Linked DNA regions of Oreochromis niloticus. The protein of the gene in region 1 purifies or fractionates together with the protein of each later gene. This does not show direct contact. Links are inferred from orthologs where the notes say so. Each region holds a gene or a part of one and is shown in the gene's direction. Other genes may lie near its edges.

The links. Proteins that work in one complex are often made in the same cells at the same time.
Region 2: the proteins of coiled-coil domain-containing protein 97 (region 1) and sf3b5 purify together in Homo sapiens (affinity purification with mass spectrometry; 3 studies listed by BioGRID and IntAct, counting the BioPlex papers as one, with this or other methods). This does not show direct contact. The link is inferred for Oreochromis niloticus from reciprocal best matches to the Homo sapiens genes CCDC97 and SF3B5.

What each region holds. Positions count from the first base shown.
Region 1 is NC_031969.2:11,464,191-11,472,006, reverse strand, and holds the start of coiled-coil domain-containing protein 97, read left to right. Parts: upstream 1-4,804; 5' UTR 4,805-5,058; coding exon 5,059-5,214; intron 5,215-5,330; coding exon 5,331-5,507; intron 5,508-6,568; coding exon 6,569-6,728; intron 6,729-6,922; coding exon 6,923-7,011; intron 7,012-7,100; coding exon 7,101-7,293; intron 7,294-7,401; coding exon 7,402-7,525; intron 7,526-7,816. UniProt on the Homo sapiens protein: May play a role pre-mRNA splicing through the association with the splicing factor SF3B complex which is involved in branch-site recognition.
Region 2 is NC_031978.2:12,070,597-12,077,707, forward strand, and holds the start of sf3b5 (splicing factor 3B subunit 5), read left to right. Parts: upstream 1-4,107; 5' UTR 4,108-4,259; intron 4,260-6,996; 5' UTR 6,997-7,022; coding exon 7,023-7,111. UniProt on the Homo sapiens protein: Component of the 17S U2 SnRNP complex of the spliceosome, a large ribonucleoprotein complex that removes introns from transcribed pre-mRNAs.

The sequences.
Region 1 (7,816 bases):
GTGCTGGTGAAGATTCTCAATATGTCGTAAATGTATTGCTGTGGGGATCTGAAAGTATATTGGTAAGTGCTGTATAACAAAGCACTATTATGGAAGTCTCAGTTCTGGTGCTGCTTTACAGCATTTGACAGGAACAAAACATTAGCTCACTCAACTAAAAAGCTGTTACCTTCATCCTTGTGCCAACTCAGGCAGCATAATAACATGGGAGATATCTGTCTGAAGGACTGCTGTGAAGGACAGTAATGAAACTCCATGCTATGCATAACGCTTGAGTCATGTCTAATTTATTTAGATTTAGCTGGGAAAATGGAAAATAGGTGAATTATTGAAAACTATGCAAACACATATGGAAATACAGTACACAAGGCAAAAACATTGCTGTACAATTGTAATAAGCTCTTCAACAATTGGTTTGACCACCTTTATTCTTCAACATTGCCTGAACTCTCTTTGGCAGCTTTCTTAAAATTTCTTAAAGTAGTGTTCAGGAATAGTTCTTCAGACCTGGTGAAGGACATTCAAAGCTCTTCTTTAGATGTTGGCTGCCTTTGTTCACTTCTCTCTCAAGATGATCCCAGGCTGCTTCAAAAATGTTGAGGTCTGGGCTCTTAGGAGGCCAGATGATGACCTCACTATTGTCATGGGTGGTCAAACTTTGTGTCGAGGAATAGACAATAGTGTTCCATTGTGTGTTTTTCTATCCAGGTATCCATTCAGAGGGTGTTTGGGATCATTGTCATGATGAAAAATGAAGGTATTGCCATCAGATGCTTTCCAGATAGTATTGCACGGTGATTCTTCACTCCATCAGACCTGTTGCCACTGATTTCAAGTTCTTCACTAATGTGGCATGCCTCAGCCTTTCCTCTCTGTTTCCATTCCATAATAATGGCTTCTTGACAGCCAACCTTCTACTGAGACCATTTCTGATGAGGCTTTGGTGAACAGTAGGTGGATCAGTAAGGCATTCAGATGCATCTGTCAGGTCCTGTGTCAGATTTTTTCCTTCTCTGTGACTTTCAGATATTGTTCATCAGCTGCAGATAGTTTTCTTTTGGGGCTGCTCCTCCTTCTTTTTCTCTCCACTTATCCAGTTTCCTCAAATCTTTTAAGGATAAACTGCACATCATGTTGAGATGCTTATGCTTATAGCACTTTGGGAATTACCTTACTGGTGGAAAAATAGCAACAAGGTAAATGCCTGTCAAACTGTCTTATCTTTGGCATTTTTTAATAAATTAAATAAAATGCTTTGCTACATTTAAACACAACCTTGGATCATCTCTTGAATTAGAGGCTTATTTTATGCTTCCCTGAAAATGGTCAGGTACAAAGACTGGCCTTAAAATGGATGAAAAAAGCAGCGAACAGAAGATCTTAAAAAAGCCTGGAGAACTATACAGAGCACTCCTCGGAAGCAAAATATAAAGAAATGAGGGGAGCTCATAACTTGTGCACAGTACTGTGTGCATCACCTGTAAAGGCAAATGTAAAGGCATAGATAAAAGGATTTTAGCTGGCATGTACAATGAAAAATAAATTTCTCTTAACAAAAAGTTGAGGAAAAAGTCACAACTCCACTGACCTTTAAAATCTGCAACAACTTGTTATTGGGTCCTGCGCATGTGGAAGCAAACTGTGATAACCTTTTTCATTAGATGGTTCAAAGGTATCATTTAACATTGTGACATAGTCAGAAGTTAGTTCATTTGTAGATACGTTTTTGGTCACCTGGTGATATTTCCTTTCTTTCTGGCCTGTTTTTTACCCAACTCTGTAGCTGCTCAGTGCTCTGTTATGTTTACCGTCTAGTCTCAGATGACTGTTTCTGCATGCTGAGCAGTATTGCAGCCTCAAGGCGCTTTATGTTATAAGGTAAAGATCCTAAAATAACAAAGCGGAAGTTCAAATAAGTAATAAATAAACCAAACGCTGCTTACAACCAGCGCAGTTGTAATTACTGGGCCACCTTCTCCCCTCCGCTCTCTGTCACTGTCAGACACAATGTGTTCATCAATATCTGTTGTACACAGATCTATTAAAATGATTCTCTGCTGTGTCACAAAGAGGAAATTATAAGACCAGATGTCAAAAGTCATTGCCTAGAAGTGGTCTCAGTAATCTAATGAGTCACCTTGTGCGTTCATTTAGAAGCTGACTCAATACTACTGACAGACCTCGAATGAATACAGGAAATTAAAGGCTGCAGTACACAAAAGAATATGTATCCAGGTAGCTAGTCGATGGATGCTGTTTATTTATTTCAAGTCTAATATTTCATCATCATGTCACACAAACTCTTTAAATGGATCAAAAAATAAAACCAGGTCTAGTCTATTTCATCTTTGAAACCTAAACTATACTACGCACATAAATTAACCTCTCTTACATTTTCATCATCCAGACTGCTGCTCTTCCCCCTGGTGGTACTGTTATGTTATTATGACTGTACCATAACCACATCTGCCTTCTATTTATTTCTGCTTTCCAAAAAAAGACTCCATTGTCTCCTGTAACAAAGTAACTGAGCAATTACATTTTTAATTAGCTGTTGACTCAGTGGTATCCATTTTTGGCACATTTACCTGTATCTTTCTTTCTCTCCCTTTGGGCCCCCCTGAGAAATAATTGACTGCAAAACCAAAATACAGTTATTAACTATTGATTCACGTGTCAGTCAAACTGAAGTCTGCATGGAAAGCAAACAGAATGAATTAGAGACTCAGTTTTCTTGCAAATTATTCACAACAATGGGACCTTGCTTTGACAGTTTTGTCACAGTGAAAACTGCACTTTGGGTTCCGAACATTTTATGCTCACCGGTTTACTTTCCATATTTTAGTCAGCACACAATTTTTTGTGATTTGTTTTTTAAGGTTGTGTGGATGGTCTATTTCACCTCATTTCTTTCACTTTTCTCTAACAAACCATCCTAACGCATAACACATGCATCTATAGTGCTGTAAATAAAGATCGATATGATGAAATAATTTTGATAAAAGTCATATTTTCACCAGAGAATTTCAATTTAAGGCTTAAAAATGTTTATTTGACTCTATATATTTAGCTGATTTTAGTCTCCTTTTAAATGATTTGCTCTTTTCTTGGCCCCTAAGTTTAACCCTTTTCCTCTGTCAACACTCAGCCCTCATATCTCCCCCACTCCTCCTCTGATATTACATCTCTCTTTCCTCTAAACTTCTTTAGTCTCTGCCATGGGTTTAAATAGCAGGACCAGCTGGCCACATCAATATATGCAGGACCTCTTTATCACAGGTGCTGGGATTACAGACACACACATACATGTGCTGTTATTTAGAGCTTTAAAAACGGGACTTGATACAGAGTAACACTTGTCTGGAGAGAACAGATAGGACTGTGTTCATTAACCAGACACCATAGATTTGTATTTGTTTCTATCTTGCAGAAAGGAGAGTTGTAGTACTTCTGCTGTCCAGCGGGTGGAGACGTGCCATTTTGAAAAGGGGTCCGCAGCATACTCCTGTCTAAATAGTACAGTCATTTGAACAGCTGTATCAGATTACTGTGAGCTCACTGTAACACCTCTGAAACACCAAAACAAAACAAGAGAACCGTCAGCTGTGTCCTGAGGGCTAGAGAATGGGTTAAACATTATCCACGCTTATTCTTTTTCTTTAATCATCTCCCTTCTCTTCTCCTGCCATTGAAGTCTATGGTTGATCTGAAAACTGTATGTTAAAATATTTTGAAATCTGGTTGAGGATAACCCTCTGATACTTTCCACCAAGTTTTATGCCCATGGCTCAAGAACTCCAGCACCACCAATGGGTTAAAGTTGGAGGTGCACTTCAAATTATACAACAGTTTATTTTAAATGAATTTCACAGGAAGTGTTAGAGAAACACAGAGGAAAAACTCTGCAAGCATTATATCATAGTGTTCACCAATAAAAAAACGAATGTTCATTCTTAACCCAAACAGCAGCAGCAATCGACCTTGATTTTAGTTATTTTTATTATTTTTGCTTAGTATTACTAGTTGGAGAAATGGCATAGTACACATTTAGTGTTAAGGTAAATTAATATTCTGTTCCTCAGTTCTACCACAACAAGATGTACATCTACCAGCCCTCAGAAGTTGCAGCAAAGGTGAGTAAAATGCATTTATGCAAAAATACAACAGTAGTAATTCCAACCCTGACCACAAGACACATCATTTCCATTACAAGAGCAGCTTTGTTTGTTTGTTTTCAAAGACTGGCCTTGAATGCCAAATCCTGCCGTACCTCCTCATCTTTTTCTTCCCTCTTTGATTTTCATGCTTCACAGTCACACCTGAAAGTCTGGAGAGTAAGAAGAGGCTCTTACTCTCCAGAGTGGCTCTCAGACAGAGGACAGCTGTGACCTGTCACTTATCTCCCTGAAGCTGAACAGTCCTTTATGTGCACACAGAAGCAGTTTAGGGTTCATTGCCTTGCTGAAGAGCACTTCAGCCAAGAAGAAGCCATGCACAGAGCCTCAAGGTGAAAACAATTGAACCTGACCTTTGATAATATTTGAAAAATACTGGTCATATCACCTAACATATTATTTGAAATCACAGATTTCAAGTAATAGACTATACAGCGCTTAAACACCACAGTATGATATGTCAGCAATAATTGATAAAAGAATAAAAAATAAAGCTGAGGTGACCCATGTGCAATTTATGTTTGATATTTATTTCTAAAATATTTCTCTGTTGGAAAAAAATATAAGCATTAAAGTCTGTCACAAGGTGGCGACAAAGACATATCAAAGAAAAGGCTGTGGGGGAGGAACAATTCTTTCGGTTGCACAGAGAAAGGGGGACACACAAAAATGACGGACCGTTATGGCGACGAAACGTTATACAAAACAAGTGAAAGGTAAAATAACACGCGAGGTTTCCATTAAAGAGAGTTTCTCATCAAATTGTAAAAATTAATTGGTCGTTTAAAAGAAATAAACAGGGGAAGTCGGCAGTAGGCTGAGCTTTTCTTAGTTGACCATCGTTAGCTGCTGGGAAGACGGTGGCTAAGTGACACCGCGGTTAATGATGTGGGGAGAGATCGACCCTCCTGTTAAAACACAGCCAAGCTTCTGTGAGACTGAAGACGAGAGGAAAATAGAAGAAATAATACTGCCACGGAGACAGAGATGTGACTCCAGCAGCTCTGAAGACACCCAGCGGGTGGTGCAGGACATCCAGGTGAACCAATCAGCGACAACAGCGTTTGTTTTTTCGTTTATATTTTCAACCACAGTGTCAGGTGCTGTCTGCCATTATGACGCCTCGCTGATTTACGCTTTCTGCTCATCATACAGAATATAAACCTGAGCGAGTCCAGCTGTGTGAATGCCATGATGGAGGCCATAGCTGTGAGCGGCGTTCTGGTGAAGAGCCAGCAGATCGGAGAGGCTGAGCTGACCGTGCAGGAGCGCAGAGAGGAGCTGCTGCATCAGTACCGCAGCAGGCCGCTGGTGTTCCTGGAGAGGTACCATGTATGTGCCCACAGTTCAACGTACACGTGTGTGTGCTAGTGAAGGGCAACATCGCCCAATATAGATGCTTAGAGGCAACGACATTCATAAGTAAATGAAGGCAAACTTCTTTCCCAGTGACGTGCTTCCATTGATGGCACTCTTTATCACTTAATGTGTTACTCTGTTGGAACAAGGTGCCAGCATTGTAGTACAATAGTAGTGACAGAGCATGAATCAAATTTAAACACAAAAGTAGCCTAGTTAGTGCTTTCCTTGGAATTTTTAATTAAAAAGTATAAAATGACGGCTTATTGCTTCAGTTCAACAACAACTTAACCTTGCAACCTTGTAAACATTGTAACTTAAGCTTGTAACCATCTGCTTTAAGTGTCAGTAATTCCCACATTCCTTTTAGTCTTCCTGTCATATGGAGTGCAACCAGCTAGTGCTCAAGTGACACAGTGGAGTCGTTTGTTGACATTTGGGTCGCACATCATCAGCTGTTAGCATCTCCTCCTTCTTAGCCTGGCTGTACTTAGCTTTGTTTTTACCTTAAGGAGTGAAAGAAGTGTGTCTTGTTTTCACTTTCAGTGAGAACAATTTCCTTGTATATTTTGGAGAGTACAGCATTGGCTGATGGTTGTTGAGCTATATATTTTTTAAGTACTAAATCTTCCTCTGAGCCCAACCGTAGAGGTGGGCCCATCGATCTAAATATCATTTTGATACCAGTGCTGGCATTGGTATTGGGTTGGTACTAGTGTGTTACGACTGATACTTCTGTCCTCTGAGTTTAGTTTGCAGAGCACTGAATTGTGTTGAATAAACTGTTATTATTGTTTAGAAATGAAAAGATGTACCTCAAACATGCACTGTGACTGTGTGTTGACTGTTATGTCTACCAATAACACATTAAATAACAGAAGCTGACCCAAAAGTTCTTTACAGACAGGAACATTTACATTACAGATCTCCAAAAAAGCCAGTTTCAAAATACATTGTTAACTAAATATTGTACTGTTGGTAAAGAAGTGAAGAATTCCATTATTATATTTTGTTTTTAATCTTACAATTTCTAGGCTTGCCTGAAGCCTCAGCATCTGTCAGCATTTGCACATGTCAGCTCAGACCCACGAGCACAGCACTACAGCAAGGTGATACAGAGACGGGCTGCAGGACGCACCGACAGGACCAGAGTCAGGAATCAGCGCTATGCTGCCCTCAGGGCTCTGCAGAAGGGTAGGGGCAGCAGCAGTTAATGATGCAATACAGCCTTTTATATTATGCCACCATGCAGCAATTGGGCAAAAAAGCTTTAGTCTTTGATAATGTCAACTGAGGTACTTGCAGCCAACTGAGGTACTTTTCTCTCTAACTCGCCATCGGCCTGGTTTTGTTTTGTGTTTCTTTTTGTGCCATGCCTCCTCTTCTAGACGGCCAGTACTTCAGTGAAGAACAGATGCGAATGAGGGAGCCGCTGCTGTACGAACAGTATATTGGCCAGTACCTGACAGATGAAGAGGTGAGTCCTGTTTATCTTGCGTTTTATATGTGATTACAATTTTTGTATATTTCAGAGTATTTATCTAATTACCTTCATGAATGCTGCAGGTGCTACAACGCTCCCAGGAGGCCATGCTGGATAGTGCACAGGGGGGAGCCGGGGAGCCGGGGCAAGGTACAGGAGGACTTGCCAATCTGCTCCTCAACTCCTACCAGGAACGACTCATCCAAAATCGTCTGCAGGAGGAGCAGGAGAAGGAAGACGGCGCACTGGAGGAAGAAGAGGAGGATGACGACTACGGTCAGTCAGAGTTCGGGTTGAAGAAAAAACTTTAAAATTTAGGCTTTTTTCTTTTCTTCTTCTTTTCCCTCCATCTTTTCTTATTCTGCTCTGTGTTTCATACTGTAGATGACAGAGACCAGCAGAAGGAATGGGAGCCGACCCCGGAGGAGAAGGCTCTTCTCAGAGAGGAGTTCATCAGTCAGATGCACCAGCGTTTTCTAGATGGCAAAGACAAGGATTTCAACTATAGGTCAGTCACACAGCACACAGGAGCAGTTCAAAGGCTTCTTCATTGCGTTGTAGCCAACTTAAAGCTGCCTTTGACAGATCAAGTTCCTCAGACTATTAGTTTATGTTTGTAGGTGTTTGTAATATAAGATTTTCAAATTAGTAAGCAGGCTTTTTGAGAATGTTGCTGAAAAAAATAACTAGTTTTGTTATTAAAGCTTTGAGATGATCATTCCTCATAGATTAATCAGTTCACAGAATAACAGAACTCAGTAATCTACCAAAGTTATTTTTGCTACAGCTCAGCGCAGTT
Region 2 (7,111 bases), on another chromosome or scaffold:
ACAAAGTTTTTTTATATATATATATTCAGTAGTATGTTGTCCACTTAAAATGCAGTGCAGGTTATGAAAACTGTTGAATACTGAACATCAGAGTGCTACAGACTGGAATTTAACTGGGAAATGTAGAGCAGAAGCATAATTTAACAGGCTTTATTAGCGGCACCTATTTTTCTACACCTTCTATCTCACTGTTGCACCTTCAAGTGGAGACCAGAAGACTGAGCATAATAATCGTGCCTTTATTCACATTGTTGCCAAACCCTTTTAACAGTCCGCTGCACTTATTTTGCATTCAGCTCATACTGAGGGATTAGAGTCTCAAGAGGCTGGAGAGTTTTTATCCTTCAGCTGCACTAAACTCTGCATGCTTCTCTGTTATATGCAAAGCCACAAGCAATGTAAACAACATCCCATCTCCCCCACAGCTAAGGTGTCACCCAGCTTTGTTTTCCGTACCAGTGGTTTCTGCCGGGATGTGCTGCTGAGAATATCATCCCTGGGGTGCAGTTTGATAAATGCACCTTCCTGTTTTATTGCTATAATCCATCATGCCACGTTATTTTCATCAGATATTTTTCTACAGAACGAGTGAGCTAGACTGTTGATAGTGAAGAGCAGTCCTCATGGGACATAATTCAATGTGATATGTTGTCTTCTGTAGTTTAATCAAATGTAAAAATAAACCTTAATGAAATGGTCCTAAAACATGGAAAATGCTTTTGTGTATCTATATACTGATCTGATCTGACACATCATAGGAATGTAACTTTGATGGCACTATTCTGTTTTTCCAGTGATTTCTTCCAGATTTCTAGTTATTTCTAAATGTTGCAGAATTCCAACTCGTTGCTGCATATACGGCTCCTGGGATCAAAAGCAGAAACATTCTTGGGTAAAGCCAGCAAACACAATCTTTTGCAGCTACCCAGATAACCACAGCGGTCTCTGAACAGTAATAAAGAGATGACTCGGCTCTATAAACAACCAACCAAACAGTTAATATAAAGAACATGCAAAATTCAGGTAATCATCCAAAGTGCAATATGTTATCTTAAAAGGGTTGGGACTGAAAATAAGTTTGGTAATAAAAATAAATATAACTCTCAGGAGAATGCTTTTGCAAAAATTAAAATTACCTTCGGGTAACCTCAATGCACATCTTCCTGTTATCGCGCCTTAGAGATGAACACAGTCTACGAGATGCACAAAAACTATTAAAATTAATGAAGCAGAGGAGTCATGTACTCATAGTTTCTGTAGAAATGTTGGATTTAAATTGTTTTCCCCAAAGAAACATTTTACAATGTTCAGCCAGACAGTAAAATGTTATAGTAGATGTAGTAATAGTTTTTACTAGACCTTCATGGCTCCCAGAAAATGATCTGAATGCTACTGATACCAGAAGTCTCAACATTTATTTCCTTTGTGTTTCTTTAGTTGGGACCCTAATGGCATTCACACTGCCCTTGGGATGAATTCCAGCCTGTTATGTATTCATAAAATGTATGCATTTATTGTCAGGTCAAAAATTTAAAGTGTCCAATACCATTGTGACTAAATACTAACATTCCAGGAATAAAACAGCAGTAACACAGGCACCAAAGTCCAAGGAATGTCAGTTAGAGTCAGCAACTTGTAGAGATGACCCTAAACCTTACCCTGAGTTTTTAGTTGTCCAAATATCAGCATAAAACAGCAGCTCCCAAATTTATTTCCAAAACTGTGTTAAAAAAATTAGCACTGCAGCTATACACCAGTATACTTAACTCCATGTTTATTTTGGGACTGTGGGAGGAACCCACACAGTGAGAACATACAAACTCTACACAAAAACAGCCCCAGACTGGATTCAAAAATCCTTCTTGCCGTGAGGCAAACCATGCACTATTGTGCCACATGTATTGGCACACTAGTCTATTCTCTTTAGATAACATCTAAAGACAATAGAGCCTAACTATTCACAAAATATAAGTAAACATTTCAGAAATGTGGTGATTTTGGCTCAAAATTAAATGTTGAGCCAAGAATATTGCCCATCATCCTACCCATGAGTGCCATAACGCTAATGTCTGTGGTTAAGTTATTACTGCTTTGCACCTAGCCACAGAACATCATACAGACAAATTTGGCAGTTTAACAGAAAACAGGCAACACAAACAGAGACAGACACATTTTGAGCTAATTGGGTCAAACAGCTAATGAGCCTATGGAATGGCAAGGCGCCTGTTATCCTTCACTCCCACAATTCACAAGAATCACTGCTCCCATTCGACTATTTGAGAGACAGATGTCCTGGTATGACATAAATAAACTGAATTGGGTTGAACTGAATTAAACTGAATTGAACTATTGGTCAGAATTTAGTGAAACACAGTGATCACCTGATGGTTCTTCACTGAAACTGTTCTCATTGTCAATGTCAAGGTTACAGTTGTTGTTTTATGGACATTTTTCCATTTTCACAAGAATTACTGTTTCTCCTGGAGGTCCAGTTTTAGTGAAATGACATTAATTTGTCCTGGATCTGACTGTTTACAAGCCTGCTTGACTTCTCAGTGGATTTCAATTCTCATGAGTTTCTGCAATAAAGCCAGCCAGTAACAACAAAACTTTCTTTCTCCACCTCACACAATACAATAACCTCTGTATTATGATGGATCATGAGGTGGATGAGCTACTACATCGCTGACATTCTAGCAAAGGTGTCCGTGCCCTAGAGCCCAGTCTATATGATCAAATAGAATAGAATAGCTTTATTAACCAAATCCATGGAAAATTGCCTTTGTTTCACCAAGTTGCTTCAAATGAACCCACATTCATACATATACATATACAACACTTCAATACAATAATAAAAACACATCACAGCATCTCATTATTCAGTATATCAATTGCTCTTGGCACAAATCCTCCCTTATACACCTCTATACCTGGAGGTGTCCTATAATGTCGTTTTGAAGGCATTAATTCAAAATCAGAATAGAGAGGGAGGTCATGGTCAGCAATAATAGACCGGGCTTTCCTCAAAACAGACTGATGACACAGTTTATCCAGTTTAATTTGATGTTGACCAATAATTTGATTCTGAAAATAATGTGGTTTGTTCTTAAATTGCCACAGTCAGGTTATTGAAATATTGGACGTAATGATGTTTTCAATCAAAGTGACATAAACATCGTGGTTAATTCCAAAGTCCCTTAACATCCTAATAAGAAACAATGATTAGGTTTCTTGTAAATGGGGTCAACATTAACCATAATATTAACCTTGTCATCAATATATGTTAGCATATATATATAAGCTATTAATGACTTCCACAGACTGACCAGAAAGTGAAAGACTGTAATGGGGCTTGTGTAATTCAACACAAGATCTTTCATTTTGTTGACATTAATCAACAAATGACAAGATTTAGCACCATTCTTCCAACCTATGTACCTGAGCAAAACAAATATGGTCAGAGTTCCTATAAAAGTGATCACTGGAAAGAATTGAATGAGGAATAAAGGAGAGAGTTTGTTATATGGTGACACATCCAGTCAGTCTGTATGTACGGTTAATAGGCTTCTGTCTTTTTTCCATATCAGGCTGTGGCTGAATATGATGTTGATCAAAATCTGGAATTATGCTATTTATATGACTGATTATTGTTATTATATAATATTAATTGTGTGTGTGCGCGCGCGCGCACATTATATCGCAAATGTGCACATTATTTACTATTCCCTACATACTAAATGTTAGGCTTAAACTTATGATAAGCAGATGTTTTCATTTGTTTGTAACTGCACAACATGTGATTCTGAGCCAGTGCCCCTCAGTTTATTTGTTGTAAAATAAACGTTGCCTCACATACTGTACAAAATTTCAAAAATCCGAATAGAAGCACACAGGTCGCGAACGAGCCGCTCGTTTTGATGTTTGATTGATTGATTGATTGTTATTCTCTGTATTTCCTTAATTATATAATTAACTGCGGGTTAAGAGAACAACAGTTTTTTTGTCAGTGTTAAGTGATGCATTGCACCTTCGTACTTGTGTGTATTACTAATACATTACAATACTATGCACATATATATATAATTAAGATTTAGGATCTACACGAGAAACGCAGAGTTTACAGTCTATGTTCCTTTCCGGTTCATTTTACTGGGCGAACCAACCGGAAGTGATCGCTCCGTGGTGCTGTGTTGAGGTGGAGACAGTCGTGTAATTTATTTACATCTCCTACCTTCGTGTTTGAATTCCTGACATTTTATGTAAGTATCCGTTGTATTTTAAACTTAAAATCTGTCTTCCTAGTTATTATATTAACTTTAAAAGGAACATTTAGAGAGCGGTTTACAGATACGGTGAATAGGCTAACAATGGCTAATTAGCCTCACATTAGCATTAGCAGGAAAACAAAAACCGGTTAATTTCTCTGTTTACATAGAAATGTCTTTACTTTAAATTTAAATAAAATGTAAATTGCTTCAAACTATTATAATCATTCATTTCGGGTTAACATTTGTTGTGGCATTGCTAGACTCGTAAATACAAAATACAAGAAAAATATTGAGGTTACATGACTGAACTTGCGTCTCCTTTTTAGCTGCACGTTTCTTGTGATGTCCGCATGTGCTGTTGCTGTTAGATAGCGTTTCATTCTTGGGTCCCTGTACTTATAAGCCTTAAACGGCTTACAATAGATGGTTATTTTGGCTCCGAATCAATCAGCCTTCGGTATGTGACTTTACTCAGAAGAACAACGGCTGGTAAAGAAAATGAGTCTTTGTTTCTACAATGGCTGGCAATAAATATAAAACATCAGAACACGACCACTCTGTTACTAAAACAAAATTCACAAGTATAAATGACAGCAACAAGGTCGGCGACTTACGTAAGTTGTGTCGTAGACGCAGAATGCCCACAGAAGTCTAAATCGGACCTTTACCTGCACTTCATCTGTGGTGACAGCCTTTTCCTATTTCTTAACAACCACTGGATAAAAACCAGACCTTAGAAAAGTGTCTGTGTTGTATTTGGGAAAACCAGAGCCAGTGAAAATGTGGGACACAGTCTCAATATGTGGGATAAGGGATAAAAATACTGTAACACAATAATCAAGGTTATTTTTGCTCAGTATTAAGGTTGCAATTCTTTAACCTGGTAAGACTTTTGAGCTTTTTAAACAATGAAGACAATTTATTTCTTGTTCTTTGTCACTTTTTTCAGTCAAAGGTATTCCAAACATATGAATTGGTTTTCTTTTTGATGACCAAAAAACTCTCTCTTTATATCATTTTTGGTTGAGCTGACCTGCCAAAACCTGAAGGGAACACTGGGTGTTTAGTGAGGGGCAAAATTGTGCCAGTGCAAAGGAAGGGGATTCACTGGATTTATAGAATAGGACAAAATATGAACCCTCGCCTTTTGTTAAAAGACAAACAGCACAGTCGTAGTCTTTTTTTTTTTTTCAGTCTGTAAAAGATAGTTCTAATTGAATACAGACTTTGATTAATAGCCCATCTTAAAGTTTTTAGCCTGTTATCTCATTGTGTGGTCCATATTTATTTTTATTTATTTATTTTGTATTTGTATTAGAGATGGACCGATCCGATATTACGTATCGGTATCGGTCCGATACTGACGTAAATTACTGGATCGGATATCGGTGAGAAATTAAAAATGTAATCCGATACATTAAATATTAAAAAAAACACCTCACAAAACTTGCGACAGGGTGTAACTCGGCTCATAACCGTAGCACGTCGGAGCAGTATGCCTCACTGATAGAGCGGCTGTGTGTATTTGTAGCCTCACTACCAAACCAGCATTTCATCTCTGAGAAAGTTATCCCAGAGAGAAGTAAAGCAAGTGTGTAAGTTCATCTCTGAATGTTTGTAAAGCGTTCCCATGTTAAGCTTAACAACCGATATATGGAGCGACTGCCTCTCTCCCTCCCTCACCTTCCTGCCGCTACTTCAATCGTGAAACTGCTTAACGATCAGCTGATCGGCTTTTCTGTCGGGAGTCCGTCTCTCTTCTTTGTTTTTGGCCCACTTTGCACCAGAAAGAGGAAACCAGCGGCTGAACAACAGCAGCACGTTTAAACTTGATAAGCTGCTGTTAGAATTTTTATTTAATATTACTTTCTACACCAGGATCCTTTTAGCTGACGGCTGGTAACTGTGCAGGGGCGGATCTAGCAAAGTTTAGCCAGGGGGGCCGATAGGGCATGAACAGGGAAAAGGGGGCACAAAGACATACTTTTCTTTCTTATTCTCATTTAAAATGTCTAGCTTTTAATAAATAATTATCTGAATCTTACACCCAAAGTTTTAATCTGATGTAAAATGTATAGAAGTCCATTTCTGTATATAGTAACTGTTAAGTCTAATATACTCTAGTAAGCTATAGTACTTTTTCCTTTGGGAAGGTACCATCTGTGCAGTCTGCAATTCTGTTGAAGAAAGATGTTGAATCTATTTAATTATTCTTGAAAAATAATTTAATTCTGTGCATTTTTTTTCACCCTGCATCAAATTAAAGTTGATTACATCGATTAAGCATCATGAGGTGGAGGATGGGGGGTGGTTCCCTATTTTTTTTTGCTGGGAGTTTGCAACCCTATTAGTTAGGTTGCTTAATATTTCTGCTAAGTACTCTTTAAAATACCAGAATAGGAAGGATGGAGCAGGTTTAAGTTTATTAGATTGATCAGTGTTGCTGAACTATAAAATATTTTGGGTGCAGTGTATTTTTTACATACAGGTATAACAGAATAGCTTTAGTGTTATTGTTTATTTAAACTTGAGTATGAACTTATACAAAATGCAGCAAGATATTAAAAAAACAGTTTTATTGATTAAAAAACACACTATATCGGATTCATATCGGTATCGGCAGATATCCAAATTTATGATATCGGTATCGGTATCGGACATAAAAAAGTGGTATCGTGCCATCTCTAATTTGTATTCTAACTTTTTTCTCATCTCTTCCCCTGTTTAGAGCCTCCAGGACTCATTTCAGCAAGAATGACAGACCGTTACAACATCCACAGTCAGCTGGAGCATCTCCAATCAAAGTATATTGGCACAGGACACGCCGACACCAGCAAGTGGGA